Linked DNA regions of Callithrix jacchus. The protein of the gene in region 1 interacts with the protein of each later gene in a pairwise test. Links are inferred from orthologs where the notes say so. Each region holds a gene or a part of one and is shown on either strand. Other genes may lie near its edges. The genes, in order: TSC22D4, POLR1C, TEX11, NRBP1, MAD2L1 and ZMYND10.

Region 1 (4,059 bases):
GCTTTAATCACACCACTGTGCTCCATCCTGGGCAACAGAGAGAGAGAGAGAGAGACCCTGTCTCTAATAAAAAGGAGGAGGGTGGGGGAGAGGGGAATAATATAATGTCCAGGATTTGATTTCAAATAGTCTAGCAAAATACAGCTGGCTCCCGAACAATGTCATTTCACTGAATGAAATGTCATCTCACTCTGTTGCCCAGGCTGGAGTGCATCTTGGCTCATGGCAGGCCCGACCTCCTGGGGTCATGAGATCCTCCTGCCTCAGCCTCCTGAGTAGTTGGGACTATATGTGTACATCACCACATTCAGTTAATTTTTTAAAAAATTTTTTGTAGAGATGGAGATCTGGCTATATTGTTCAGGCTGGTCTCAAACTCCTCGGCTCAAGAAATCCTCCTCCCTCAGCATTTGAGTAGCTGGAATTACCAGTGCACCTCCCCATGCCCAGCTAATTTTAAAAATTTTTTGTACAGACAGGGATCTCGCTACATTGCCCAGGCTGGTCTCGAACTCCTGGCCTCAAGCGAGCCTTCCACCTCAGCCTTTGAGTAGCTGGAATTATAGGTGCACCTCACCATGCCCAACTAATTCTTTTATTTTTTGTAGGGGCCGGGTCTTGCTATATTGTCCAAACAGGTCTCAAGCTATCCTCCTTCCTCGGCCTCCCAAACAAAGTGCAGGGATTGACAGGTGTGAGCCACAGTATTCGGCAATAATCCACTTTTAAAAATAAGGAATGAGGGGAATAATAGTACCTTCCTCATTTAGTTGCTGTGGAAAGGAAAGGAGAATGACGGTAATAGCCACAGCCGCCCCACAGCAGGAACTAGGCACTTCTGGGGGGGCACCCAGTACACCTCCAGGCCTGTGCCGTCCCTCTCTTTGGTGAGTCTCTAGGAGAGGGGCAACAATTGACTACAAGTAAGGGAATCCCTCGCCTCCCTGCAAGCTCCTCCCCTTTCTCCCCGAGCCCCGCCCTCTGCAGCCCCTCCCTGCAAGAGTGGTGCTGGGGCCCGGCAGGTGTGGGGTTAAGGGAGTCTGTTTGCGGCCCCCAGGAGCAGCAGCCTGAGCAGCGGCCGCAACAACTGCAACAGCAGCGGCTGTGGCAGGCCTGGCCCCTGGCCAGCTGGCGGGGAGCCCCAGGAGGGAGGGAGGGAGGAGGAAGGGGAGGAAGAGGGGAAGGAGGAGGAGGAGGAGAGGAGCAGTCAGCAGGCCCGAGGAGGCAGGACTTCCTGGTGTGGGGGTTGTCAACAGCTCAGAAAGAGAAAGACGGAGAGGCAGACCCAGGGGAGCCGAGGAGCGGAGACAAGGACCCAGCGGGGCCACGCGGGAGGAGACTCGGGACACCAACTCGCCGGCTGCCACCGGGAGCAGCGGGGGACTCCGCCGCCCCCTCCCACATCGTCTCCAGACCCTTGGTGCTTCAGAGGCCGCGCTTGGGCTCCTCGGAGGAGGCTCGGGTTCCTTCTTTTCGGAGAGCAAACTTTACACGGAGATGCCTCGCAGAATGAGCTGCGGCCCCCGAAGAGGACGGGGCAGCCTGTGATCGCCGCCTGCGAGTCCCGCCACTGCCCGGGGCCAGGAGGCCCCAGGGAACCGACAGCCCTACCTCTTAGGCGCCGGGACCCCCAGGCTCAGATCAGTGGCCGAGGCCCCAGAGGTAGGGCTTGTGGCTGGGCGGGGCGCAGAGGGGTAGCCTGGCAGGGCTTGACCCAAAGATGTGGGAGCTGGGGTGAGGGTGGGGGCTGGAGGCCTAGGAGAGGTCTCTCTCTGGGTGGCCGGGCCAGGCTGGGGAGCTGCTTCACCCCGGTTCTCCCAGGCCCTGGAGTCCGAGCTCCTGGGACAATGCAGGATCCCTGAGTCGGAATCCCAAGCGAGAAATGTTCAACTCTGGGACCCGTCTGCCTCTTCCTACCCTGAACGCCTTCTGGGATCCGGTCCCCTCTGCCCTGGTCTCTTGTCATCTCTTGCCTGCCTCTGGTTCTCTGACGGTTTCCTCTTCCCCCACTTTGCTCCCCGGAGAGGAAGCCCCGGAGGTGGCCTGCCCACTGGTTTCACACACACACACAGACACACACATAAACTCTCTCTCTCTCTCTGTCTTTTTCCAGTTTGCAAACTCAGCTCTGGAGTTCAGCAGCGACAGCAGCAGGAAAAACCTGCCCTTGCTCCCCCCTCCTGCCACCTCCACTCTCCTCCTCTCCCCTCACCCAGCAGGCACCCCCGGTTCCCGCCAGGCCCTCCTGCCATGTCGGACCCAGACGTCCCCAGGGGCCCGGATGCCCCCACCATGTGGCCCCCTTGTTCCAGGGGTGCCTGAGCCCCTTCAAGGAGCCCCAGCCTACCCCCAACCTTGGCCCAGCCCTGAGCCCCAGGGACCATGAGCGGGGGCAAGAAGAAGAGTAGTTTCCAAATCACCAGCGTGACCACGGACTACGAGGGCCCGGGGAGCCCAGCGGCTTCGGACCCCCCTGGCCCACTGCCCCCCACCGGGCCCCCACCCCGCCTGCCAAATGGGGAGCACAGCCCTGATCCGGGGGGCAAGGGCACCCCCCGTAATGGCTCTCCCCCACCTGGGGCCCCCTCCTCCCGTTTCCGGGTGGTGAAGCTGCCCCACGGCCTGGGAGAGCCTTATCGCCGAGGTCGCTGGACTTGTGTGGATGTTTATGAGCGAGACCTGGAGCCCCACAGCTTTGGCCGCCTCCTGGAGGGAATTCGAGGGACATCAGCGGGCGCTGGGGGCAGATCTTTGGATTCCAGGTTGGAGCTGGCCAGCCTCGGCCTGGGCACCCCCACCCCACAGTCAGGCCTGTCTCAGGGCCCCACCTCCTGGCTCCGTCCACCGCCGACCTCTCCCGGACCTCAGGCCCGCTCCTTCACTGGGGGGCTGGGCCAGCTGGTGGTGCCCGGAAAAGCCAAGGCAGAGACACCCCCACTGTCGGCTTCCCCGCCTCAGCAGCGCCCCCCAGAGCCTGGGACTGGGGAGAGCGGGGGCACATCTCGGGCTGCCACACCCCTGCCCTCCCTGAGGGTGGAAGCAGAGGCTGGGGGCTCCGGGTCCAGGACCCCTCCACTGTCCCGGAGGAAGGCTGTAGACATGCGGCTGCGGATGGAGTTGGGTGCTCCAGAGGAGATGGGGCAGGTAAGACCTGGGTTCTAGGGCTCGCCCATCTCAGCCCTGGCCTGACCTTCATGTTGGGCCTCCCTACCTCTGCCTCCCTCCCCCTCCTCCCCCCTCCTATCCCTTCTCCTCCTCCTCCTCCACCTCCTCCTCTTCCATCACCTGTCTATCAGATCAGACAGCCCCTTCTCTGTGCCTGCCAAGTCACTCTCAAGCCCCTTCCTTGGTTTTCTGCCTCAGCCTCCTTCCTGTTTTTTGCACCCTTTCTCTTTCTCTCTGGCCTCTGATTCTGTCTTGGTTTTCACGTGGCCTGGCATATGTGGCCTCCTCACCTGGCCTTCTTCTGTCTTGGTCTCAGCTCCTCTGGCTCTAGGTGATGAGGGTGGAGGCCCCAGCTGGGTAGCTGGGTCCCTGGGGTAGGAGCTGCCAGGATTTGGGGAGGAATGGTAAAAGGTAGGCCTTGTATGCTGCCAGTCTCTTTCCACTGCAGCCCCATCCTGAATGTGGGGTCTTTCTTTTCCCCCAGCCACCCATCGCAGTCCCACTTCTAGCTTTGCTGCAAGCCAAGTGTCATGGAGAAATTGGGTGGGGGGAACACCTCCCTGGGATGGGGAAGGGGCTTGCTGGTTGATCCTTTTCACTCCCCAGTTGTCTGGCTCAACTCCCTCCAGGCAAGAAGAACTTGAGGAGGAATGCAGTCCCCGTACTGTTTCTCCTTCCTGTCTCCAAAAGAGGAACAAGTCTGGGCTGGGGGTGGGGGGCAGGATGCCTGGGTCCCCAGGGTGGGGGCGAGAAGCCAGAGACATGGGGATTGAATACTTCTGTCCTGCGGGAGAAAATAACACCTCGGAGGGCTGGGGAAAGGCAGGGAGTGTGAGGATGCGAACTCTTTCCCCTTCCTGGCCTTGGGCACAAACCACAGTATAAAAATAACCT
Region 2 (4,233 bases), on another chromosome or scaffold:
ATGTTGGCATACAAGCTGAAGGCCCTGGAGGCTTGTCTCTTCCCAGCCTGCCACATCTGAAGGAAGATGGGCATAGGTATTGTGGAACTCTTGGCATTAGACCCTGTTGCCTATTTTCCATTTGATTTCTACCAGGACAACCTGGGGCGACACACCAATACCAACTCCAGGACATGGGACACACCTAGGTTTACTTTTCCACCTGCAGGGGATTCCATCTTGCTTACCTGATCAGCCACCTGCCGGCTCAGCTGTCCCTTAAAGCCCTTCATGCCCAGGAACTCTCCATCCTCTTCTTCAGCAGCAGCCGCATCAGCGTCTGCATCAGCGTCTACTTCTTCCTCGCGCAGGCGCTGATGCAGTTCACCCATATCCTCGAAGCTAGAGCCTGAGGTATCATCCATGTTCTCCATGTCAATCACAGCTGAGCCTCCGCCCTGTTAAGACAATGGCTCCTAGAGTGCAGGACTTTTCTGTTCCATCCATTAAGTCCTCTGCTCATCCCAGGGCTTAGGGCTTTGTTCTTCCACTGCTGAGGATACGGCTTGGAATCACTACAGATCATGCCACTCCATTCCCCCTCATTTGCTCTCAGAACGCTTGATTTATAGCTTTGGCTATCTTTTCTAGCCTGGGAAACCAACTAGTCTTCCATTCATGTCTTTCTCCTACCTTACCTATCAAAGACTAAAAGCTTGAAAAAGAATCCATTTCTGTCTTTCCAAAGCCCCAAACAAAACTATGAACACAGTATGTTTTCGGCGAGTGCCAGTGAATCCCACCCAACCCCACTCCAGGCCTGACCCCAACCAACCTCCTAACTTGTTCCAAGAATACGTTCTTCCTAACGCCTCGGGCGGGCCCAGAGACCCGAGATCCTCAGGCTGGAGTAGTAGACTAGTCTGGCCCTTTCAGGTCAATGTTAACTCCACTGACTTTTGTGTGCAAGACCCAAAGAAGGCAGTTTTGCAAATGGAGTGAACTTCCAGGCCCCGAGGGAGAATCCCCAAGACACTTCTGGACATCGCCGGCCCTCGGGTTGCTGGCATCTGGTGCCTTGGGGCCATTACCTGGATGTTTTCTTCGAACCCTCCCCATTCCGGGCCAGCTCCGTTTCGGGCGCCGCCCGTCGGCGCCGCTGTAGTTGCCATGCCCTTTGAGGGCTCCCGTCGCTGAAGCCCGCGATAGCCCCGCGCGCAGGGAAGTGTGCGAGATGTGAGTCCCAAGAAGGGAGAGGTCCCAGGTCGCGGAGAGGTGGGATCAGCCGGAACACAAAAAGGAGAAACCCGGATGTTTGGACAAAACCAACTTCCGGAAATTGGGGACGTGGATGAAGGTGGAGCAAAGTCTCGCGATATTTAAGATTCCAGGAGGCGGTGCGTTGCCACGGAGATGGAGCAGTGCTGCTAGAACGCACGCGCCAGCTAGAGCCTGTAGTCTTTTGGAGAGATTGAACATGGCGGCTACTCAGGCCGTGGAAGAAATGCGGAGCCGCGTGGTTCTAGGAGAGTTTGGGGTTCGCAATGTAAGACTTGTGTCCTTGAGCTCAGGCGGGAGGAATGAGAGCGGAACAGGGATGGGTCTTGGGATTGGCGTGGGGATAGCCGTAGGCTCACTGTCCATTTGTGGACAAACTCATCCCTTTGCTCTAGGTCCATACCACTGACTTTCCCGGTAACTATTCCGGTTATGATGATGCCTGGGACCAGGAACGCTTCGAGAAGGTCAGTGGGGCCAGAGTTGTCCGGGGATTGTTAGGAGGGCCAGACCCTGTGGTCTCAGCAGCATGTGTCTGTCTCAGTAGCTGCTCTTGGGGGTCGCTCCGTTTGTAAGTTTTGTTGAGCAATGTGGTAGACCTCCGTTTACAGGCCAAGTTAGACACAGTTTCTACCCAGTTCTGCAAACAAGATGTTCAGTCTTGTTGAGGAATGGTGCGTATAAACAAGTGAATCTAGTTTAATATGGTAAAGGTGGTTGATAGCTGTGAAGATGGCAGGATTCGTGTGGGGAACATTATGCTGAGACCAGGAAGAGGGGCCCAGAGGTACTTAACATTTCTTGAGGAGGGAAGATCTGAATTGAGCTTTGAACGGTAAGTAAAGAACAGGAGTTAAATTAGGAAGGCTTTGAGTTTCAGGTCAGTGAAGTTGAGGATATACAGGTTTTGTGTGTATTTAGTCTATTATTGTTTCACTTAGCTTAAAATAAGGATTAAAATTGCATTTAAATAGATCACTGAATGTTACTGTTTATGCAACTGAACTGTGTGTGCAGTTTATAAAACATGATCTATAAATCTGTGCTTGGGAAAATTTTACTTTTTTTAACCTGTTGATACAGGAATAAAGTATGAACAATGAAAAAGGCTAATGCTTGAAAAAAAGTTATGGTGTGAATTGTGCTCCGGGAATGTCCAAGCAGTTCTGGCACTAGTGGTAGGCAAGATTGAAGTGTGTCTTGGGCACTGTTGATGATAGGGAGCTTGAATAGTTAAGCAGACATGATTAGATTTGCAACCCTGATAGCTGGGAGGGAATGAGTTTGAAGAGGATCGTATGGAGCAGGCAGATCTGTTGTAAGGGAAGCTGAGGTTGAAGGTATGAACTAAGACTGACGGTAGAAAGAGAGCAAAGGAAGAAAGAAGGTAAATTTGTGATTGCTTTGGTAAAGGCTGTTGGGGTAGCATAAAATGACTTTTTGACTTGGGAACTGCTTTGATGCATTGTGGTATCATTTACTGAGAGAAGAAATGGGTCTGGGGAAGAGGAATGATGATACGTCGTTTCCTGCATTTGGAGAAATCTAGCAGGCTAGAAGACTGCATATTTGAAATGAGATCAGAAGGGAGGTAAAATTTTGGGAGGTGTCAGCACAGATAGTTGCTAAAACCGTTGTTAGTGTGGTTAAGGTCACCTGGGAGAGAGACCAGAACCTGGTAGATTTAGAGATGGGTGGACGTTGTTGATCATCAGAGAAGGAAGAATGGAGCTCAGAAGCCAGGAGAATAGTTCAAAAAAGGAGGGGATTTTTTTTTTTTTTTTTTGAGATGGAGTCTCTGTTGCTCAGGCTGGAGTGCAGTGGCAGGATATCAGCTCACTGCAACCTCTGCCTCTTGGATTCAGGCAGCTCTCCTGTCTCAGCCTCCTGAGTAGCTGGTATTACAGGTGCACACCACCATGGCCGGCTAGTTTTTTGTATTTCTAGTAAAGATGAGGTTTCACCATGCCAGTCTCGAACTCCTGACCTCGTGATCCAACCACCTTGGCCTTCCAAAATGCTGGGATTACAGGCATGAGCCATTGCGCCTTTCCAGGAGGGGATTTTTTTAATCAATGCCAGGCGTAACAGACGTCTAGTAAAAGGACTGTCTAGTGTCAGCATGACTAAGCAGTGAGGTGGGTTTCTGTTCTTAGGACAATAGCTTCTGTGGATGGTTTGGTTGGGAGCCATATTGGATAGGGTTTTAATGAATGGAAGACAAAAAATGGACACTTTTCATGAACCTAAAGCAAGCACTGGACGAGAAAGAACATTTAATAAGGGACGTCTGGGCAAAGGGTGGTTTTTGGATGAGTGGATAATACTTGGAATCATCTGAGGGGGAGGTATGAAGAGCTATTACAAAGAGAGCAGGCTTCACTTAATCTTTTTCCTGTCCCTCTAGAATTTCCGTGTGGATGTGGTACACATGGATGAAAACTCACTGGAGTTTGACATGGTGGGAATTGATGCATCCATTGCCAATGCTTTTCGACGAATTCTGTTAGCTGAGGTATTGGCAGGCATGGTGACAAGGTTGGATTTGCTTTGGGAACTGCACTGACACTTGGAGTGTCACTTGGAGAATTAAGTGTCTCAAGCTGTCCTTCCCTTCTTATTTTTCCTGGAGTTTTGCTGGCTAAGGATTTTACCTTCTCATTCTTTGTAAACTTCTCATTAAACATTCTAGGAAGAGAGATAGCTCCCTACCTCTGGAGGTTGGAGTTTGTGGGGATAGGTAGGGGGTCTATTGGGTTTTTGCTGATAAGTGATTTTTTCCTTGGGCAGGTGCCAACTATGGCTGTGGAGAAGGTCCTGGTGTACAACAACACATCTATTGTTCAGGATGAGATCCTTGCTCACCGTCTGGGGCTCATTCCCATTCATGCTGACCCCCGTCTTTTTGAGTATCGGAACCAAGGTGAGAAAATGAAATTTTGGGAGAAGTGGACTGTCTGGGTTTAAATCCTGGTT
Region 3 (4,029 bases), on another chromosome or scaffold:
TGTTATCTACAAATCTGGAGGCATCATGTTTTCACACTGTTGCCTCTGAGTGGAGATTAGCATCATGCTTAGATTTAGCTGGAATCAAATTTTTATTTACATATTCCACCCCTCAAGCCATTTGGTTTGGAAATGCATGGGACAGGCAAGCTTGCTGTGAGAGGTATTAGGTAGTTTCCTAAGGTAGTTTCCTAATGATTGGACAAAGGCAGGGCAGCAGAAACATGTCTTGGAACTACAAGATTTTTTAATTTTTAATTTTTCTATTTATTTATTTGTTTATTTATTTTTGAGCCGGAGTTTCACTCTTGTTGCCTAGGCTGGAGTGTAATGGCGTGATCTTGGCTCACCACAACCTCCGCCTCCCCGGTTCAAGCAATTCTCCTGCCTCAGCCTCCCGATTAGCTGGGATTACAGGCATACGCCACCACACCCGGCTAATTCTGTATCTTTAGGAGAGACGGGGTTTCTCCATGTTGGTCAGGCTGGTCTCGAACTCCCGACCTTAGTTGATCTGCCCACCTCAGCCTCCCAAAGTGCTGGGATTACAGGCGTGAGCCACTGCTCCGGGCTTATTTTTTATTTTTAAGAGACATGGTCTCGCTGTCGCCCAGGCTGGAGTGCAGTGGCGGGATCATGGCTCATTGGACCTAAACTCTCAGGCTCAAGTGATCTTTCCACCACAGCCTCCCAAGTAGCTGGGACTACAAGCGCATGCCATCACACTCGGCTTTTTTTTTTTCTTTTTCTTTCTTTCTTTCTTTTTTTTTTTTTTTTGGTGTAGGTGCAGACTGGCTTGTTGCTCAGACTGGCCTCAACTAGTCTCCTCAGCTTCTAATATGTCTGTTATTTCTGGCCTTTGCCACTCTTTCATACCCAGTGGTCAACAATGTCTACTTGCTTTATTTCTTTTCCTGTTCTTTTTGTGTGTGTGTGTGAAGTCTTGCTGTTTTTTCTGTAATCCTGGCCATTTGCACTTTTCCTCAATTCATTGTAGTATGCTTTCAGTATTACATCACACTTGCTTAATCTCAGTGAGTCTCACCCTGAAATCGCCCAGCAACTGACTCTCTGAACCGCATCCCCAGGATGTAAGGTTTAGACTGGGTCCCAAAGCCTAGGCGCCTTGACACAGGGTTAAGGCCAAGTGGGAGTGGCTTTAGTGGTCTAGCGTGACGTCACTAACGTCGCTAGGGGGCGGTGCTTTCCGAGCGTCCTCGTCCTCGTGCGCTGTGGAAGGAGGCTGTGGAGAGCACAGCCGCGGCGTTGGTGGCTGCAGCTGAGGTGAGTGATTTTTTGGGCAGGAAGGGCTAGATTAGGGTTCAAACAGAGGTTAGTTGGGTAGTTTATAACTAGCAAGAATATAGCCATCAGGCCAACACTTTTTAGAGTGGCCCTGAGGCAGTGACTTTATGCTACCGAACTGCTGGTGGCTCTCAAGGTGAACAAAAGAGGGGCAAAAGTAATGTTTTTTGACGAGGATGGAGGCATATGGGGAGGAGTGGTGGGCCATTGAAAATCGGAAATAGGAGTCATTGTTGTTTAGATGCTGAAAGACCTAAATCATGTCGAAGCGGGACTGTTGATGACCGTTGGGGGCAACGAACGTAATGTTTTTTTGACGAGGATGGAGGCATATGGGGAGCGGTGGTGGGCCACTGAAAACCGGAGATAGCAGTCATTGTGGTTTAGATGCCAAAGGACCTAAATTGTGTCAAAGCGGGACTCTTGACCGTTGGGGGCAATGTAATGTTTTTTGACGAGAATGGAGGCGTATGGGGAGCGGTGGTGGGCCACTGAAAACTGGAGATGGTAGTCATTGTAGTTGAGATGTTGAAGGACCTAAATCATATCTAAGTGGGGCTGTTGATGACCGTTGGGGACGGGATGCTGAAGGTGCTAGCTTTCTCAGAGAGCGGGAAAAAGGACCGGGAGTGCTGGCTTTCTCAGAGAGCGGGAAAAAGGACCGGGAGGGCTGGCTTTCTCAGAGAGCGGGAAAAAGGACCGGGAGGGCTGGCTTTCTCAGAGAGCGGGAAAAAGGACCGGGAGGGCTGGATTTCTCAGAGAGCGGGGAAAAAGGACCGGGAGGGCTGGCTTTCTCAGAGAGCGGGGAAAAAGGACCGGGAGGGCTGGCTTTCTCAGAGAGTGGGGAAAAAGGACCGGGAGGGCTGGCTTTCTCAGAGAGCGGGAAAAAGGACTGGGAGTGATTGGATGCTTTGAATTGCAGTTGGTAGCGGAAGTGGATTTTGAACCAATGAGAAGGAAGCAGCGAGAACCAGCCAGACCAATCACAGGGTACCACTCAGCTCCGCTTCCCCCATTGCCAGGCAGACTTACATTAAGAAAAGGTCCCTTTTATGTAACTTGGTAGCCTGGCCCTGACCCTCACAAACCCTTTCATGGGCTTTTAGCTTTACTCAGCCTTTTTTTCTCTTGTTGGATAACAAGTAACGGGAGACATTTCACTGGATAGTAATTTGTTGAGAAACTAGGGGATAAAACAGAGTATTAAAAATATTTTATTATTTCATAGGCTTCAGCCAGAGATTTAAAAATGGACAATGACGATTTTCTTTCCATGGACTTTAAAGGTACGTAGCTTTATGTGGTAGTAAAAAATAATGTCAAACTGCTGCTTATTTAAGATCTAAATATTTCGCTTCTTAGTTTTGTCTCTTTGCAGTGTCTGCAGCTCCAGGCTTTCTTATTTATGTGCTAGAAACAACGTCAATTTTATTTTTTGAGATGGAGTTTCGCTGTTGTTACCCAGGCTGGAGTGCAATGGCACGATCTCGGCTCACCACAACTTCCGCCTCCTGGGTTCAAGCAATTCTCCTTCTTCAGCCTCCCGAGTAGCTGGGACTACAGGCGTGCACCACCATGCCCAGCTAATTTTTGTATTTTTAGTAGAGACGGGGTTTCACCTTGTTGACCAGGATGGTCTCGATCTCTTGACCTCGTGATCCACCTGCCTCGGCCTCCCAAAGTGCTGGGATTATAGGCGTGAGCCACGGCGCCCCGCCAACAATGTCGATTTTTAACACATTGGGAACCTTTTATGAACTAGTGTAGGGAGACAGAATTCATAATTCATAACTTGTTTTTTTTCAGGATTTTTATGGCATGCAAAATAAAACATTTAATCTGAAAGATACATCTATTGCAATAAAAATAAATTTAAAAAATTACTGCAAAATCTTGGAGTGTCCTACTATAATCATTCGTGAAAAATAAATTATATCCTGTGTAGTTTTAGATTTAAGTGCATTTTATGGCATCTTAATTCGTTTGAAAATTGGTAATACATGTTTGGTTTTATGGGAACTCTTAATAAACAAAAGCAATTTGACTGACCAACACACCAAATTCCTCAACCATGCCAGATATAGGAGAGTTTATGGTACTTTCTTTGCTTTTGGGGAATAATGAGACCTGTGGTACCTTCACATTCATATAGTAATGAAATATGTGGTAAGAAATGTGGCTACAAATCTATGATTTAAAAAAGTTTAGGTCAGTATTTTGTTAATACTTTTTTTTTTTGAGACAAAGAGTTTTGTTCTTGTTGCCCAGGCTGGAGTGCAGTGGTGTCATCTTGACTCACTGCAACCTCTGCCTCCTGGGTTCAAGGGATTCTCCTGCCTCAGCCTCCAAAGTAGCTGGGACTACAGGCTCGCACAGCCACACCCGGCTAATTTTTTTGTATTCAGTAGAGACAGGGTTTCACCATGTTGGTCGGGCTTGTCTTGAACTCCTGACCTCATGTGATGCACCTGCCTCGGCCTCCCAAAGTGCTGGTATTACAAGTGTGAACCACCGTGCCCAGCCAATACTTGTTATTTTAAAACAACAACAATAAAGCCCACTACTGTGTACTCTAAGTTTTAAATTCAGACATAATACCTTAAAGGTATAAAGATGGAATAGGGATTATGACTTTTAAATAGCTAATATTTGAGACTGTATTTACATAAATATTTGAATCACACAGAAGAGTATAGGAAATAATACAATGAACCTACCACTGAA
Region 4 (3,990 bases), on another chromosome or scaffold:
ATGAGCTAAGATTTGAAAGACATAAGGTTATGAATCAGCAGATAAGAGTATAGTAAGTAAAGCCTGACAGGAAAGTCCAAACAAGAACAGTTTGTAACTCATTAGATAAGTATAATAGGGAACAGAGGAGAAAAGAAGGAAGACTGGTGGGAAGTCAGGAGGATAGTATGGAATAAGTTTCTAGTTCAACATTGAGGTGGAGTATTCAAGTGAAAGATTAGGTATGTAACCTTGTTAGCCTTCAAGGTTGAAAGCAGGTTAATTGTCATGGGATGTACAGAAGGCAGAAAAGGAGGCAGAGGTGAGGCACAGTGGCTCATACTTGTAATCTCAGAACTTTGGGAGGCTGAGCTGGGAGGATCACTTGAGCTCAGGAGTTTGAGACTAGCCCAGATAACATGACAAAACATTTCTATGAAAAAACAAAAACATAAAAATAATCTGGGTGTGGTGGCACATGCCTATGGTCCCAGCTACTCTGGAAGTTGAAGGGAGGGTTGCTTGAGCCCAGGAGGTTGAGGCAGCAGTGAGCTGTGATTGTGCCATTATACTCCAGCCTGGGTGACACAGCAAGACCCTGTCTCAGAAAAAAGAAAGAAAATAAAGCAGAATGGTTACAGGAATCCTGGGAAATTCAGTGAATTCAGTGATTGTGGACAAAGGAAATGGTGAATATTGATCACAGTGGGTAAGTGTGGGAAGAGATAAGCTAAAAATGTGGCAAGATTTAGAAAAGAAGATAGGCAATGAGTTGGCTAATAAAGCAGAGAGGTAAAAGAAATAAGGAAAAAAGAAGGAAAAAGAAAATGTAAACATTAAATAAAAAAAGAAAGTTTGTGGTTGGAGAGCAGATAAATGACTAAAACCAGAAAGGCAGTGGATGTATCTTTCATATACCTTACAGTTTTTGAAGCCCATTCAGGTGCGTTTGTCAATATATTGTATTCTCAGTAAGTGCCAAGCCCCTGCTATGTACAAAGCCTTGTGCTAAGTAGAATGAGAGCTATAAAGATGAATACATTGCGGGGCTTGCCAGATGCCTACTCCAGTTCCTTATTTTCTTTTCTAGGAGTTCATTCAAAAGTGCCTGCAGTCTGAGCCTGCTCGCAGACCAACAGCCAGAGAACTTCTGTTCCACCCAGCATTGTTTGAAGTGCCCTCACTCAAACTCCTTGCTGCCCATTGCATTGTGGGACACCAACGTGAGTCCTACTGGCCCTACAGGGAATATTCTTCCAATCTGGAGCCCTGTAACTATCACTGGCATGCTTGCTTTCCTCTTCTATTTCCAAAGGGATTCTTTTTTTTTTTGAGAAAGAGTCTCACTCTGTCTCCCAGGCTGGAGTGTGCAATGGTGCGCTCTTGGCTCACTGCAACCTCCGCCTCCTGGGTTCAAGCAATTCTTGTGCCTCATCCTCCCGAATAACTGGAATTACAGGCATGTGCCACCATGCCTGGCTAAGTTTTGTATTTTTAGTAGAGATGGGGCTTTGCCATGTTGGCCAGGCTGGTCTTGAACTCCTGGCATCAAATGATCTGTCTGCCTCAGCTTCCCAAAGTGCTAGGATTACAGGCATGAGCTACCATGCCCTGCCTCCAAAGGGATTCTTTACCCCTTTACATTTAATATGACTATTCCTCCATAACATCCCACTCCATCATGCCCTCCAGACATGATCCCAGAGAATGCTCTGGAGGAGATCACCAAAAACATGGATACCAGTGCTGTACTGGCTGAAATCCCTGCAGGACCAGGAAGAGAACCAGTTCAGACTTTGTGAGTAACTGAGATGGTCTGAAAAGGGCAGATTGGTGACTACCACTCTTGAGGTTCTGTTCATTCTCTGGGAATGGTTGAATTTGCTTTTTTGCTTGTTTCCTTCTTTCCATCTCCTTTCTCTTTTCTCCTCCAGGTACTCTCAGTCACCAGCTCTGGAATTAGATAAATTCCTTGAAGATGTAAGGTGAGAGCAGAGTGAGAAGACAGGCTTTCTTGAGGAAGCAGGCAGTGTTGGGTATCCTAAGACATTCACAGAGCTCATGTGATCTGTTTTCATCTCTCTCCAGGAATGGTATCTATCCTCTGACAGCCTTTGGGCTACCTCGGCCCCAGCAGCCACAGCAGGAGGAGGTGACATCACCTGTCGTGCCCCCCTCTGTCAAGACTCCAACACCTGAACCAGCTGAGGTGGAGACTCGCAAGGTGGGAGCTGTGGTGGAAGGGAGAGAGGACATCACAAATAAGGCTCTATCCTTTAGAGAAAATGCTCCCTAGCAGCCATGTGCTATGGGCTGGAAAGGCGTCTAGGTATTGGGTTTTTTATGGACAGGTCTCTAGAGTGACCCTCTCTGTCCTCCTTCCCTAGGTGGTGCTGATGCAGTGCAACATTGAATCGGTGGAGGAGGGAGTCAAACACCATGTAAGGCTCAGGGCTAGGGTTACGCAGGGCTGATGGCTAGAGGGTAGGGAGGAGTCTCATTTTCTGACTGTCCTATTCTCCAGCTGACGCTTCTGCTGAAGCTGGAGGACAAACTGAACCGGCACCTGAGCTGTGACCTGATGCCAAGTGAGTCTCTCCTTTCCCTCAGAGGATGGAGAGTCTGTGAGCCTTATCTTTGAGGGACATATTCAGGAGTGGGGAAGGCGACAAGGCAGTAACACATTGACTCACAAAGAATGGCTATCTTAGCCCCTACAACAGTGGGTGGATCTGACAGTTTAGCCCTAGTGGTGCTGTGTGAAGGGCCCCAGGTCCCTCAGTCCTGTACTGTACTCACCCCCTCCTGTTTCTCTGTTAGATGAGAACATCCCCGAGTTGGCAGCTGAGCTGGTGCAGCTGGGCTTCATTAGTGAGGTGAGATTTCTGCCTTCATCTGACCTGGCTGCCCCAGTGCCTTCTCTTCTCTCAGCCCCTGTCTCACTGAGCTCTTCTCCCCCAGGCTGACCAGAGCCGGCTGACTTCTCTGCTAGAGGAGACCCTGAACAAGTTCAATTTTGCCAGGAACAACACCCTCAACTCAGCCGCTGTCACCGTCTCCTCTTAGAGCTCACTCGGGCCAGGCCCTGATCTGCGCTGTGGCTGTCCCTGGACATGCTGCAGCCCTCCTGTCCCTTCCCCTCAGTCAGTATTACCCTGTGAAGCCCCTTCCCTCCTTTATTATTCAGGAGGGCTGGGGGGGCTCCCTGGTTCTGAGCATCATCCTACCCCTCCCTTCTCTTCCTCCCCTCTGCACTTTGTTTACTTGTTTTGCACAGACATGGGCCTGGGCCTTCTCAGCAGCCGCCTTCTAGTTGGGGGCTAGTCGCTGATCTGCCGGCTCCCGCCCAGCCTGTGTGGGAAGGAGGCCCATGGGCACTGAGGGAGCCGAATTCTACAATCCCGCTGGGGCGGCCAGGCGGGAGAGAAAGGTGGTGCTGCAGTGGTGGCCCTGGGGGGCCATTCGATTCGCCTCAGTTGCTGCTGTAATAAAAGTCTACTTTTTGCTAAAAGCGTCGTGTGTTCGAGCCTTGCCAGCCAGGGGGAGCGGGGCCGGGGCAGAGGCGGGGCCCAGGTGGGAGGGGAGCCCGAGACGGAAGCGGGGCCAAGGTTGGGGCGTGGCTGAGTCCATGTAGAGCTGCCCTATGGCCGGTGAGGCTGATGGGATGAGGCGCTGCCGTCTCTGCACTTTCGGTAACTTCCGGCTCCTGGCGTCTCTTGTCCTTCCCCTGGGGCCACTCTCGGCCTGTCGTCCTTGTTGTCGTCGTTAATCTGCCTCGAGCCACCTTTCCCTTACCCGCCCGGCTCAACCCTGCCCCTCCCCCATGCTTTGCAGACGCCGTCCGGGGCCCCCGGCGGCTGATGCGCGTGGGCCTCGCGCTGATCCTGGTGGGCCACGTGAACCTGCTGCTGGGGGCCGTGCTGCACGGCACTGTCCTGCGGCACGTGGCTAATCCCCTTGGCGCCGTCACGCCGGAGTACACCGCGGCCAATGTCATCTCTGTCGGCTCGG
Region 5 (4,222 bases), on another chromosome or scaffold:
GTGCGTGCCTGTAATCCCAGCTACTCAGGAGACTGAGGCAGGAAAATTGCCTGAACCCAGGAGGCAGAGGTTACGGTGGGCCGAGATCACGCCATTGCACTCCAGCTTGGGTGACAAGAGCAAAACTCCGTCTCAAAAAATAAATAAAAATAAAAATTAAAAATTAAATTAAAATTAAAAGGGTTGGAATCTCCCTGAAGTCAGGGGGATGGGAGGTGTGAGAAGGTCTATGGAAGGGCCAGCTGGCAAAAAAACAGCTTGCCTCTGGCCAACGGCTAGCAAGACAAAAGGGATCCTAGTCCAACAACCACTTTCTGTCAGAGGGTTTAGAAGGACCTCAAACCTCAGATGAAACCCCCACTTGAAGACCCTTTGATTTCAACCTTGTGCGACTGAGCAAAACAGTCAACTATGCCACGTCCAGACTTCTACCTACAGGACTGAGAAAACAAATAGGTGGTGTTTTGAAGCCACTGATTTGTGGTAATTAGTTATGCAGCAATAGAAAACTAACAACATTCAAGTATTTCTCATATAATAACAGCATGTCTGGCAGATATAAAAGTTTTTCAGGCGTCATTCTACAAATATCTTCCTAGCTGCTTTAAGAATTCTTTTAAAATTGACATGAACATTAATTGTGCAATATCTCCTTAATAATTCTCACCCTTTTCAATGAAAAGTCATAGAGTGTGGTGAGTCAAGATACACTGAGTATTCTTCAATGCTGATGAGCCTCTTTGGGGAGGTGACCTTATTCCTATCCTGCCGCCTAAGGGTGGGCAGGGTGGACAGAACGCAACCTGGACTTCCGGACGCAGTCCCCCTACCGCCCCAGACTCGCCTACTCCTCTGGCCTCTGAGGGGTGCCTTAAGCCTAGGACAGACGTGGAAAATGGGCAGAAAAGAGGATGCAGTTCCCCTCTTTAATCCCTAACTCAATTTCTCGGGAAAAGCCGCGTTCCCACACAGAAGGCAGACCCTCCAAAGCTGCAGCCTGGCTACCGCGCACGCGGTAGCTTCACGAATTCCCAAAGCATCTAGCGGAAGTTTAGACCGTTCACTAGGGGTCACGTGTGCCACTTCGGATGCAGCTGGCAAACACTTCATTTCAGTTTGAAAGTAACTTTGAAACTCGGAAACGGTACTCCATGGTCTTTCAGTTCATAAGCGTAGACACCGGCTACTGAAATTGGAATCGTCATCTTCTTGCCTCGGCCGCAACTAGTAGACTAGGATCAGAAGACATCTAATCACAACCTACCGGAGCTTCACACAGGCACAGCAGATCAAGTCCACAAACTGCGCCTGCGCGAACCGGCTGTTCCGGCGAGATCGCAGGAAGACGGAGAGAAAGGGCAGGATCCCGCCGCGTAGGGCGGGGTTAAAGGCCTGTCGCGCCTGCGCAAAAGACCCGACGACGGGCTGCGTCGTTACTTTTGAAACGCTTGGCGGGGAATTGTTAAGGAGCCGCTGCGGTCGCTGTCAGCGGAGTGGAAGCGCGTGCATTTGCTTGTGTCCGTGGCCATGGCGCTGCAGCTCTCCCGGGAGCAGGGAATCACTCTGCGCGGGAGTGCCGAAATCGTGGCCGAGTTCTTCTGTAAGTTCTTGCGCAGGCCTTAGTGGGGGTGAACTGAGTCCTGGCGGCTCAGGAGGCCCGCGGCTCGGCCTCCAAGACCGGGGAAGGAATCTGGGGCGAGGCGGCTGCAGTCGCTTCCTCCTGACGCGTTGCTAACGTGGAGCGGCGGGCCTGCGTGCTGCTGGGGCCTGCCTCACATCGTAGCCTCTTCCGGAGCGTTTGTGCAGAAACACCCCACCTCCCACCGCTTACTTCACGAAACAGGACAGAGTGTGACTGGGGTGGGCCCCAGTGTCCTGTGTAGGGGGAAGGGAGGGTTGTTCTGTTTCTTTAACTGCGGCCGCACCCTGACCCTCCCACTCTTAAGTGATCGTGAGGCGTGAGGCTGGTGGTAAACAAGATTTTGGGAACGCCTGTTCTCGACCAGGCCCGCTGCACGTTCTAAAGGAATCTGGCAGGATTTGAGAGGGAAAGGGGAAGATGCAGGCTTGCCTGGAGCACAGTGACTATTAAGTCAGTTGCTAACTCGAATGCAACAGCCTATTTTGATATCCTCTAGCCTCATAATATTAATTTGGACTTGGTTTACAATGAGGTGAAATTTGGCAATGGTAGGTTGATACACTTTGTTTTTTTTTTCTTATTGCCGCACGAAAGCAAATACCTTTCTTTCTTAGAAGCAAGACTTTTAAGGATTTTTAATGCCGCTTTGTACCTACTCTGAGTAAGATACAAACACGTGTGTTCTGTCATTTACAGCTTTATTGCGTAATGAAAATAGAGCCACATCTAAATATATTTTATTTTCCAAAGTTATGTAGTGATAAGGAATTTTCTGTGACATTTCTTTTGTTTGCAGCATTTGGCATCAACAGCATTTTATATCAGCGTGGCATATATCCATCTGAAACCTTTACTCGCGTGCAGAAATATGGACTCACCTTGCTTGTAACTACTGATCTTGAGCTCATAAAATACCTAAATAATGTGGTGGAACAACTAAAAGGTATTTAATCATTGGAAACAATTTGAGTCTTGTAGACTAGGCTTCACATTTTCAGGCATCTCAAGTAGTAATTTTTTCCACTCTGCACATAGAAGTGTAGAACATCGGAAATAGTGATTTTCAGTTGGGAGGAAGCAAATAATATGTAAAATGGAAGAAATCCACTCTTCCCCTCACTGCATTGTGAGTGGACTGAATATTTTGATGTTAGAAATCTGATACGGCTAAAAAAAAAGTCTTCATCAACTCCTTTAGAAATGGCTTTTGCAGTTAATGTTGCTAAATGGAACAAGTTGGAATGTTACATAATTATATTGGTGTTCACTAGCTGAGAAAATATACACTACATAGTCTCAATATGATTTATTAATTTTCTGTAGTCTCCTGTTATAATTAGATTAAGATCAAGAAACATAAAATTGGATTCAACCAGAGAACTAAATTTCAAAAAAGTAAAGATTACCTGCTACATAACAGAACACCAACAGTTTTTTTTTGTTTTGTTTTTCACCTCTTTCTCTTTGTCATTTACAAAAATTCTGCCTGTGATGCAGTAAGCCTTTTCTGTCTGAACACTCATTATTTTTCTTTAACTTGGGAAACTGCTGTATTACCTCTTGGATGAATACTTGTTCATCTGTTTCTTTTTCCTTTCTAGAATTCCTGTTAGTTTCTCTTTTGTGTTTCCCGCCACTTAGGATGCTCATTTCCAATTTTTCAAATGTTTCTCTTATTTTATCTTCTAAAATATTAGTTTCAAAGAGTATTACAGTGGCCATCATTTTTTTTTTTTAATTTAGAAATCATTTCTTTTGTTGACCAGAATTTTTTGTTTCAAATGTGGCTTCTTTATCGTTTTCATGGCATTTTTACTAACCCATTTTTAATATGCTCTTCTGATGATGGCCATGTGAACTTTTTTAGCTTGATAACTCTCTTTGAAGCTGTACTATCCTCTAGGTAAATTGTTACCATTGACTTGCCATTTATATGTACAGGAGTGGAATTCCTCAACAGCCTGTGCATGTCAGGTCTCAAATTGACAGGCAAGGGAAGATAGCCCTAATGATATTTTGGCCTGGATATTTCTTTGATGTGGGTGCTTTTTTGTGTGTTGTAATGTTTACCAACATTCGTGACCTCTACTCATGAAATACCAGTAACAAACCCCCTTGCTCTGACAACCAGAAATGTCTCTATATGTTATATTGCCAGATATGCCCTAGGGGACAAAATTGCCCTTGGTTGAGAACTTCTGCTGTAGTGGATTGGTATTGTCTAAACAGCAAGATGAGAACTCTTTTGGTGTGAGAATAGACCTCTGTTCTCAGTGTACACAGGAAAGACATTGATAGGAACAGTCCTCCTCTCCCAGAGTTGCATCCAAAATTGGGAGTCAGGAATAAATCATCTATAGTGAATCATAGGGCTGCACGGTTTTTTTTCTTTTTTTTGAGAGAGAGAACAAAAGGCTGTACTTTTTTTCGCTCACATCATTCAGCTTGGAACCTCTAGGCAACTGTGGATCTGTGCCTTCATCTTAATATGCTAGAGAAGCAGATATTGCCTAAGCCAGTGGTTTTTAGGTTGTCTCCTATGAGACTGGATTGATGACATTTCACCTTATGTGTGTCTAG
Region 6 (4,288 bases), on another chromosome or scaffold:
GATCCCATCACTGCACCCCAGCCTGGGTGACAAAGCAAGACCCTGTCTCAAATAAAAATAATAAATAAACCTAGAAAGAAACAGATGTAGCATGGCCCAGTGGCTCATGCCTATAATCCCAGCACTTTGGGAGGCTGAGGTGGGCAGATCACCTAACATCAGAAGTTCAAGACCAGCCTGGCCAACATGGTGAAACCCCATCTCCACTAAAAAAATACAAAAAAAATCAGCCAGATTACTGCACACCTGTAATCCCAGCTACTCAGGAAGCTGAGGTGGAAGAATCACTTGAACCCAGGAGGCAGAGGTTGCAGTGAGTCAAGATCATGCACTCTACCCTAGGTGACAGAGGAGATGCCACCGCAAAAAAAAAAGAAAAAAGATGTGATCAAGAATGAATTGGGTTGGAAGCAGGGACTGCTCTGGATTAAATGGCCAAGAAAGGCCATCCAACGTGTAAACTGAGCCCTGAAGGAAGAGTATTCCAGGCACAGTGCAAAACCCCTGAGGCAAAAACCTCTTTGGAATGTATGAGGGAGATCCAGGGAAGCAAGGGGGAGAAGCGAGTATCCAAGTCCCAAGGTATGAGAGAGGGCAAGAAGTAGATCTTGCAGAAGTGCTAGTAAGCTGTGACAGACCTAGCATTTGGTGCTCCGAAGTAGCTGCAGAGCCTCTCTCATGCCAGAGAGTAATTGTACACGTTTTTTCTTTCTTTCTTTTTTTTTTTTTTGAAACAGTGTCGTTTTGTCCTCCAGGCTGAAGTACAGTGGTGCAATCTCGCCTCACTGCAACCTCTGCCTCCTGGGCTCAAGCAGTTCTCCTACCTCAGCCTCCCGAGTAGCTGGGGCTATAGGTGTGTGCCACCACACCTGGGTAATTTTTGTATTTTTAATAGAGACAGAGTTTCACCATTTTGCCCAGGCTGGTCTCGAACTCCTGACCTCAAGTGATCCGCCTGCCTCAGCCTCCCAAAGTGCTGGGATTACAGGTGTGAGCCACCGCGCCTGGCCTGACATACACTTTTTAAAAAGAGGCTCCCGGCTGTTCATGAGGACCAAGCGTGGAAATAAGTCTAGAGAAAAGGCTGCCACAGTTATCCCATGACAGGTGACGACATTCTGGATGGAGAGAAGTCGTGCGCCCTGGCAGTAAGTATTTCAGGAGCCAACTAGTGGAGCCGGGACGCCATAAGGAGGAGGAGGAGGAGCAGCGAGTGGGTCAACATGCCACAGCCGCAGGAAGAGCTGGTGGGGTCGGGGTTACCCCATCCCTGTGCAGGCCGACTTGGCGTCCCAGGAGAGAGTCCAGGCCACAAGAATCGGGAGAGACTCGTGGGTCACAGCCCGAAAAGCTCTGGGAATCCAGGTACTGTAGCGATTGGCAGCGGCCTAGGTGAGGCCGGCGGTAGACCCGCCCGGATTTAGGCGAGAGCTACCTCCAGGGGCGGGCCCAGGCCGCAATGCGCAGGCGCGGCGAACCCGTTTCCATGACTGCGAGAACCCACGCTCCCCAACCGTCCCGTAACTGTCCGATCCCAGACTTTGGCACCGTCGGGCATCGTCCCCGTGTGTTAGTAACCCCACCCGACTGCTGCCCAGGGTCTGTCGGACCCCGGCCTCGACATGGGAGACCTGGAGCTGCTGCTGCCCGGGGAAGCTGACGTGCTGGTGCGGGGTCTGCGCAGCTTCCCGCTACGCGAGATGGGCTCCGAAGGGTGAGGCACCTGGGTCAGGCGGAGTCATGGGGTCATTGTCCTTGAGTGGGGGAGCTGGGGCCTGATACGGGTGGAGGGGCTGCCCAGTGTGGAGGGGCCTCCAAATGGGGAAGCAGAGCGTTCTGAGACAGGAGTATTATTGCTCCTGAGCCCCCTGTGGCCCCTTAGGATCAGGTTAGGTTTCAGTAGGATCCAGCCCCCATCCTCACTCCTAATGCACACACGTGCACCCACATGCACTTACCCTCGGGGGCAGGTGGAACCAGCAGCACGAGAACCTGGAGAAGCTGAACATGCAAGCCATACTCGATGCCACAGTCAGCCAGGGCGAGCCCATTCAGGAGCTGCTGGTCACCCATGGGAAGGTACCCTGAGGTCACAGGCAGGATTCCTGCCTTCCTCCATACCCACTCTACCCCTCAGGAATGCCCTGTGTGTTTTGCCCTCTGGCCTGGTATACCTGTCCTCCCTGAAGGTGAAAGAGGAATGTGTTACATTATGTATCCCTATGGACAGGACTCTGGCACACCAGGCCAGGTGCAGGGCATGAGTTGAATAAAGAGAAAGTTGCAGGTCCTAGAACAGCTTAGGATTCGAGGGGAAGGCCCAAATCCTAAAGGCATCTGTGAATTGACTGTAAGGCTGCGGGGGAGGGGAGATAACTTAATTGGAAGTGGATCTTTGGCAGGGAAGGAAGCAGCCTTCCTAACATGAGAGAGCAGAGTTAGAAACCAGGGAGATGCCTGGCTGGAACATGGACCAGGGAGTATCACCAGCAGATGACCTGAAATATCAATTCACACACACACAAAAAAAAGAGTTCCTTTGTAAGAGAAAGGTGGAGCTCGTTACTAGGGGATAGGGTAGGAACAGGGCACTGTGAAGGGTCCTGAGTAAGAGTGAGGCCAAGGCACACAAGAGCCTTGGAGGACCAGAGGACAAGGACAAGAGGGAGGGCATGAGCAGAAGGGCTGGCTTGAATGCCTGAATGGAGGGAGAGAGGATAAGGGTACAGGTGCAGGCAGGGCAAGGCAGTCTGGGGACTGGGCAGGAGCCAGTCACAAGCATGGGGGACATCCACAGAGGTGTTGGGAGCAGCTGGAAATGAAGGTCCAAGTTGCAAAAGAGAAGTCAGGAAGGATACTCATGGGGTCTAGGAGAGTCTAGGGGCCCAGCAGTGTTTGAGGAGATCTGGGCTGAGCTGAGCCAGGGATGGGAGGGTTGCCAGGCTAGGCCCATCTTACTCCTGTCCTTTCCCCCTGTCCTTTCCCCCCACTTCAAAGATCCCAACGCTGGTGGAGGAGCTGATTGCAGTGGAGATGTGGAAGCAGAAGGTGTTCCCCGTGCTCTGCAGGGTGGAGGACTTCAAGCCTCAGAACACCTTCCCCATCTACATGGTGGTGAGCTGGCCCCTAGTTCATACTTCCTCCCACTCTTTCAGAGGGCTCTGGACCCGGGAGGAAAGCTGGTGGCCCCTATCCCTCCCTCAGGCCCTGTTCTTCTTTTTGTCTAACAGGTACACCACGAGGCCTCCATCATCAACCTCTTGGAGACAGTGTTCTTCCACAAGGTGAGAGACTATCTCTGCCCATGGGCCACTGTTCCAGGTCAGGGCCTGGCAGGAAAGAAGGTTGCATCTGTGTGAGGAGGGCATCAGACACAGAAAGTTTCCCTCCCCGCTTCACCCAGGAGGTGTGTGAGTCAGCAGAAGACACTGTCTTGGACTTGGTAGACTATTGCCACCGCAAACTGACTCTGCTGGTGGCCCAGAGTGGCTGTGGTGGCCCCCCTGAGAAGGAGGGGTCCCAGGACAACAACCCCATGCAGGTGGGTTGAGGTTCCCTAGGGTTGAGAAGGCCTAGGTCTGGGTTCCCCAAGGCCTGCGCAAGTGAGAGTGGCCCAGTGGCCCAGCATAAACACTGTGTGGCCTCCCAGGAGCTACAGAAGCAGGCAGAGTTGATGGAATTTGAGATTGCTCTGAAGGCCCTCTCAGTACTGCGCTACATCACAGACTGCGTGGACAGGTGGGCAGCCTGACTGGGCCTGGGCCTACCGTGGAAGGCTGGAAGACTGGGCCTGTAGCCTGCCTCTGCTCACCTCCTTCCCAACATTCCTGCCCCTAGCCTCTCCCTCAGTACCTTGAGCCGCATGCTCAGCACACACAACCTGCCCTGCCTCCTGGTGGAACTGCTGGAGCATAGTCCCTGGAGCCGGCGGGAAGGAGGTAGGGTCCTCCCCCACCAGCCTAAGCCCCAGGCTACTGCTTCAGGATATCTTTTTGGTAAAGGGGGATAGCTTGCATATATGAAAACAAACCCTGTCCCCAAGCCCACTGAGGATACCAGGATGCCTCAGCCAAGCTTGTCCTAGACCTGAGCTCTGCAGCAGGCCAGGCCCATGTGTCCACTACCGAGGCTCATCCTGCTCTGGGGTGAGCAGCACTATATAGCCTGCCCAAGTCCTGTGGCCCAGGCTCTCCCACCATTCCCAGGCAATGGTCAGTCTCCCAGGCCCCATGGCTGGCTCACTTGAAGAGAATGCAACGCCTGCACCCAGTGTGCTGGTTCCTCTCCC

Evidence for each region.
Region 2: the proteins of TSC22D4 (region 1) and POLR1C interact in binary tests that used the Homo sapiens proteins (3 or more experiments, as listed by UniProt). The two-hybrid records come from large-scale screens. The link is inferred for Callithrix jacchus from reciprocal best matches to the Homo sapiens genes TSC22D4 and POLR1C.
Region 3: the proteins of TSC22D4 (region 1) and TEX11 interact in a two-hybrid assay, tested with the Homo sapiens proteins (2 studies listed by BioGRID and IntAct). The two-hybrid records come from large-scale screens. The link is inferred for Callithrix jacchus from reciprocal best matches to the Homo sapiens genes TSC22D4 and TEX11.
Region 4: the proteins of TSC22D4 (region 1) and NRBP1 interact in binary tests that used the Homo sapiens proteins (3 or more experiments, as listed by UniProt). The link is inferred for Callithrix jacchus from reciprocal best matches to the Homo sapiens genes TSC22D4 and NRBP1.
Region 5: the proteins of TSC22D4 (region 1) and MAD2L1 interact in binary tests that used the Homo sapiens proteins (3 or more experiments, as listed by UniProt). The two-hybrid records come from large-scale screens. The link is inferred for Callithrix jacchus from reciprocal best matches to the Homo sapiens genes TSC22D4 and MAD2L1.
Region 6: the proteins of TSC22D4 (region 1) and ZMYND10 interact in binary tests that used the Homo sapiens proteins (3 or more experiments, as listed by UniProt). The two-hybrid records come from large-scale screens. The link is inferred for Callithrix jacchus from reciprocal best matches to the Homo sapiens genes TSC22D4 and ZMYND10.

What each region holds. Positions count from the first base shown.
Region 1 is NC_133503.1:13,245,253-13,249,311, forward strand, and holds the start of TSC22D4 (TSC22 domain family protein 4), read left to right. Parts: upstream 1-1,259; 5' UTR 1,260-1,662; intron 1,663-2,113; 5' UTR 2,114-2,382; coding exon 2,383-3,144; intron 3,145-4,059.
Region 2 is NC_133505.1:51,998,509-52,002,741, forward strand, and holds the start of POLR1C (DNA-directed RNA polymerases I and III subunit RPAC1), read left to right. Parts: upstream 1-1,433; 5' UTR 1,434-1,456; coding exon 1,457-1,525; intron 1,526-1,652; coding exon 1,653-1,724; intron 1,725-3,664; coding exon 3,665-3,772; intron 3,773-4,047; coding exon 4,048-4,180; intron 4,181-4,233. Other genes in the region: protein YIPF3, read right to left, coding at 1-56, 228-437, 1,071-1,151. UniProt on the Homo sapiens protein: DNA-dependent RNA polymerase catalyzes the transcription of DNA into RNA using the four ribonucleoside triphosphates as substrates.
Region 3 is NC_133524.1:68,184,818-68,188,846, reverse strand, and holds the start of TEX11 (testis-expressed protein 11), read left to right. Parts: upstream 1-1,229; 5' UTR 1,230-1,284; intron 1,285-2,276; exon of another isoform or gene 2,277-2,295; intron 2,296-2,533; 5' UTR 2,534-2,554; coding exon 2,555-2,591; intron 2,592-4,029. UniProt on the Homo sapiens protein: Regulator of crossing-over during meiosis. Involved in initiation and/or maintenance of chromosome synapsis and formation of crossovers.
Region 4 is NC_133515.1:87,585,567-87,589,556, reverse strand, and holds the end of NRBP1 (nuclear receptor-binding protein), read left to right. Parts: intron 1-897; exon of another isoform or gene 898-1,025; intron 1,026-1,069; coding exon 1,070-1,202; intron 1,203-1,671; coding exon 1,672-1,777; intron 1,778-1,913; coding exon 1,914-1,964; intron 1,965-2,067; coding exon 2,068-2,203; intron 2,204-2,366; coding exon 2,367-2,420; intron 2,421-2,503; coding exon 2,504-2,567; intron 2,568-2,778; exon of another isoform or gene 2,779-2,799; coding exon 2,800-2,855; exon of another isoform or gene 2,856-2,940; coding exon 2,941-3,045; 3' UTR 3,046-3,490; downstream 3,491-3,990. Other genes in the region: KRTCAP3 (keratinocyte-associated protein 3), read left to right, coding at 3,623-3,671, 3,814-3,990. UniProt on the Homo sapiens protein: Required for embryonic development. Plays a role in intestinal epithelial cell fate and proliferation, thereby involved in the architectural development of the intestine potentially via the regulation of Wnt-responsive genes.
Region 5 is NC_133504.1:77,657,963-77,662,184, forward strand, and holds the start of MAD2L1 (mitotic spindle assembly checkpoint protein MAD2A), read left to right. Parts: upstream 1-1,422; 5' UTR 1,423-1,527; coding exon 1,528-1,600; intron 1,601-2,438; coding exon 2,439-2,585; intron 2,586-4,222. UniProt on the Homo sapiens protein: Component of the spindle-assembly checkpoint that prevents the onset of anaphase until all chromosomes are properly aligned at the metaphase plate.
Region 6 is NC_133516.1:32,917,247-32,921,534, reverse strand, and holds the start of ZMYND10 (zinc finger MYND domain-containing protein 10), read left to right. Parts: upstream 1-1,488; 5' UTR 1,489-1,622; coding exon 1,623-1,714; intron 1,715-1,970; coding exon 1,971-2,079; intron 2,080-2,997; coding exon 2,998-3,114; intron 3,115-3,230; coding exon 3,231-3,284; intron 3,285-3,403; coding exon 3,404-3,541; intron 3,542-3,649; coding exon 3,650-3,738; intron 3,739-3,837; coding exon 3,838-3,938; intron 3,939-4,288. UniProt on the Homo sapiens protein: Plays a role in axonemal structure organization and motility. Involved in axonemal pre-assembly of inner and outer dynein arms (IDA and ODA, respectively) for proper axoneme building for cilia motility.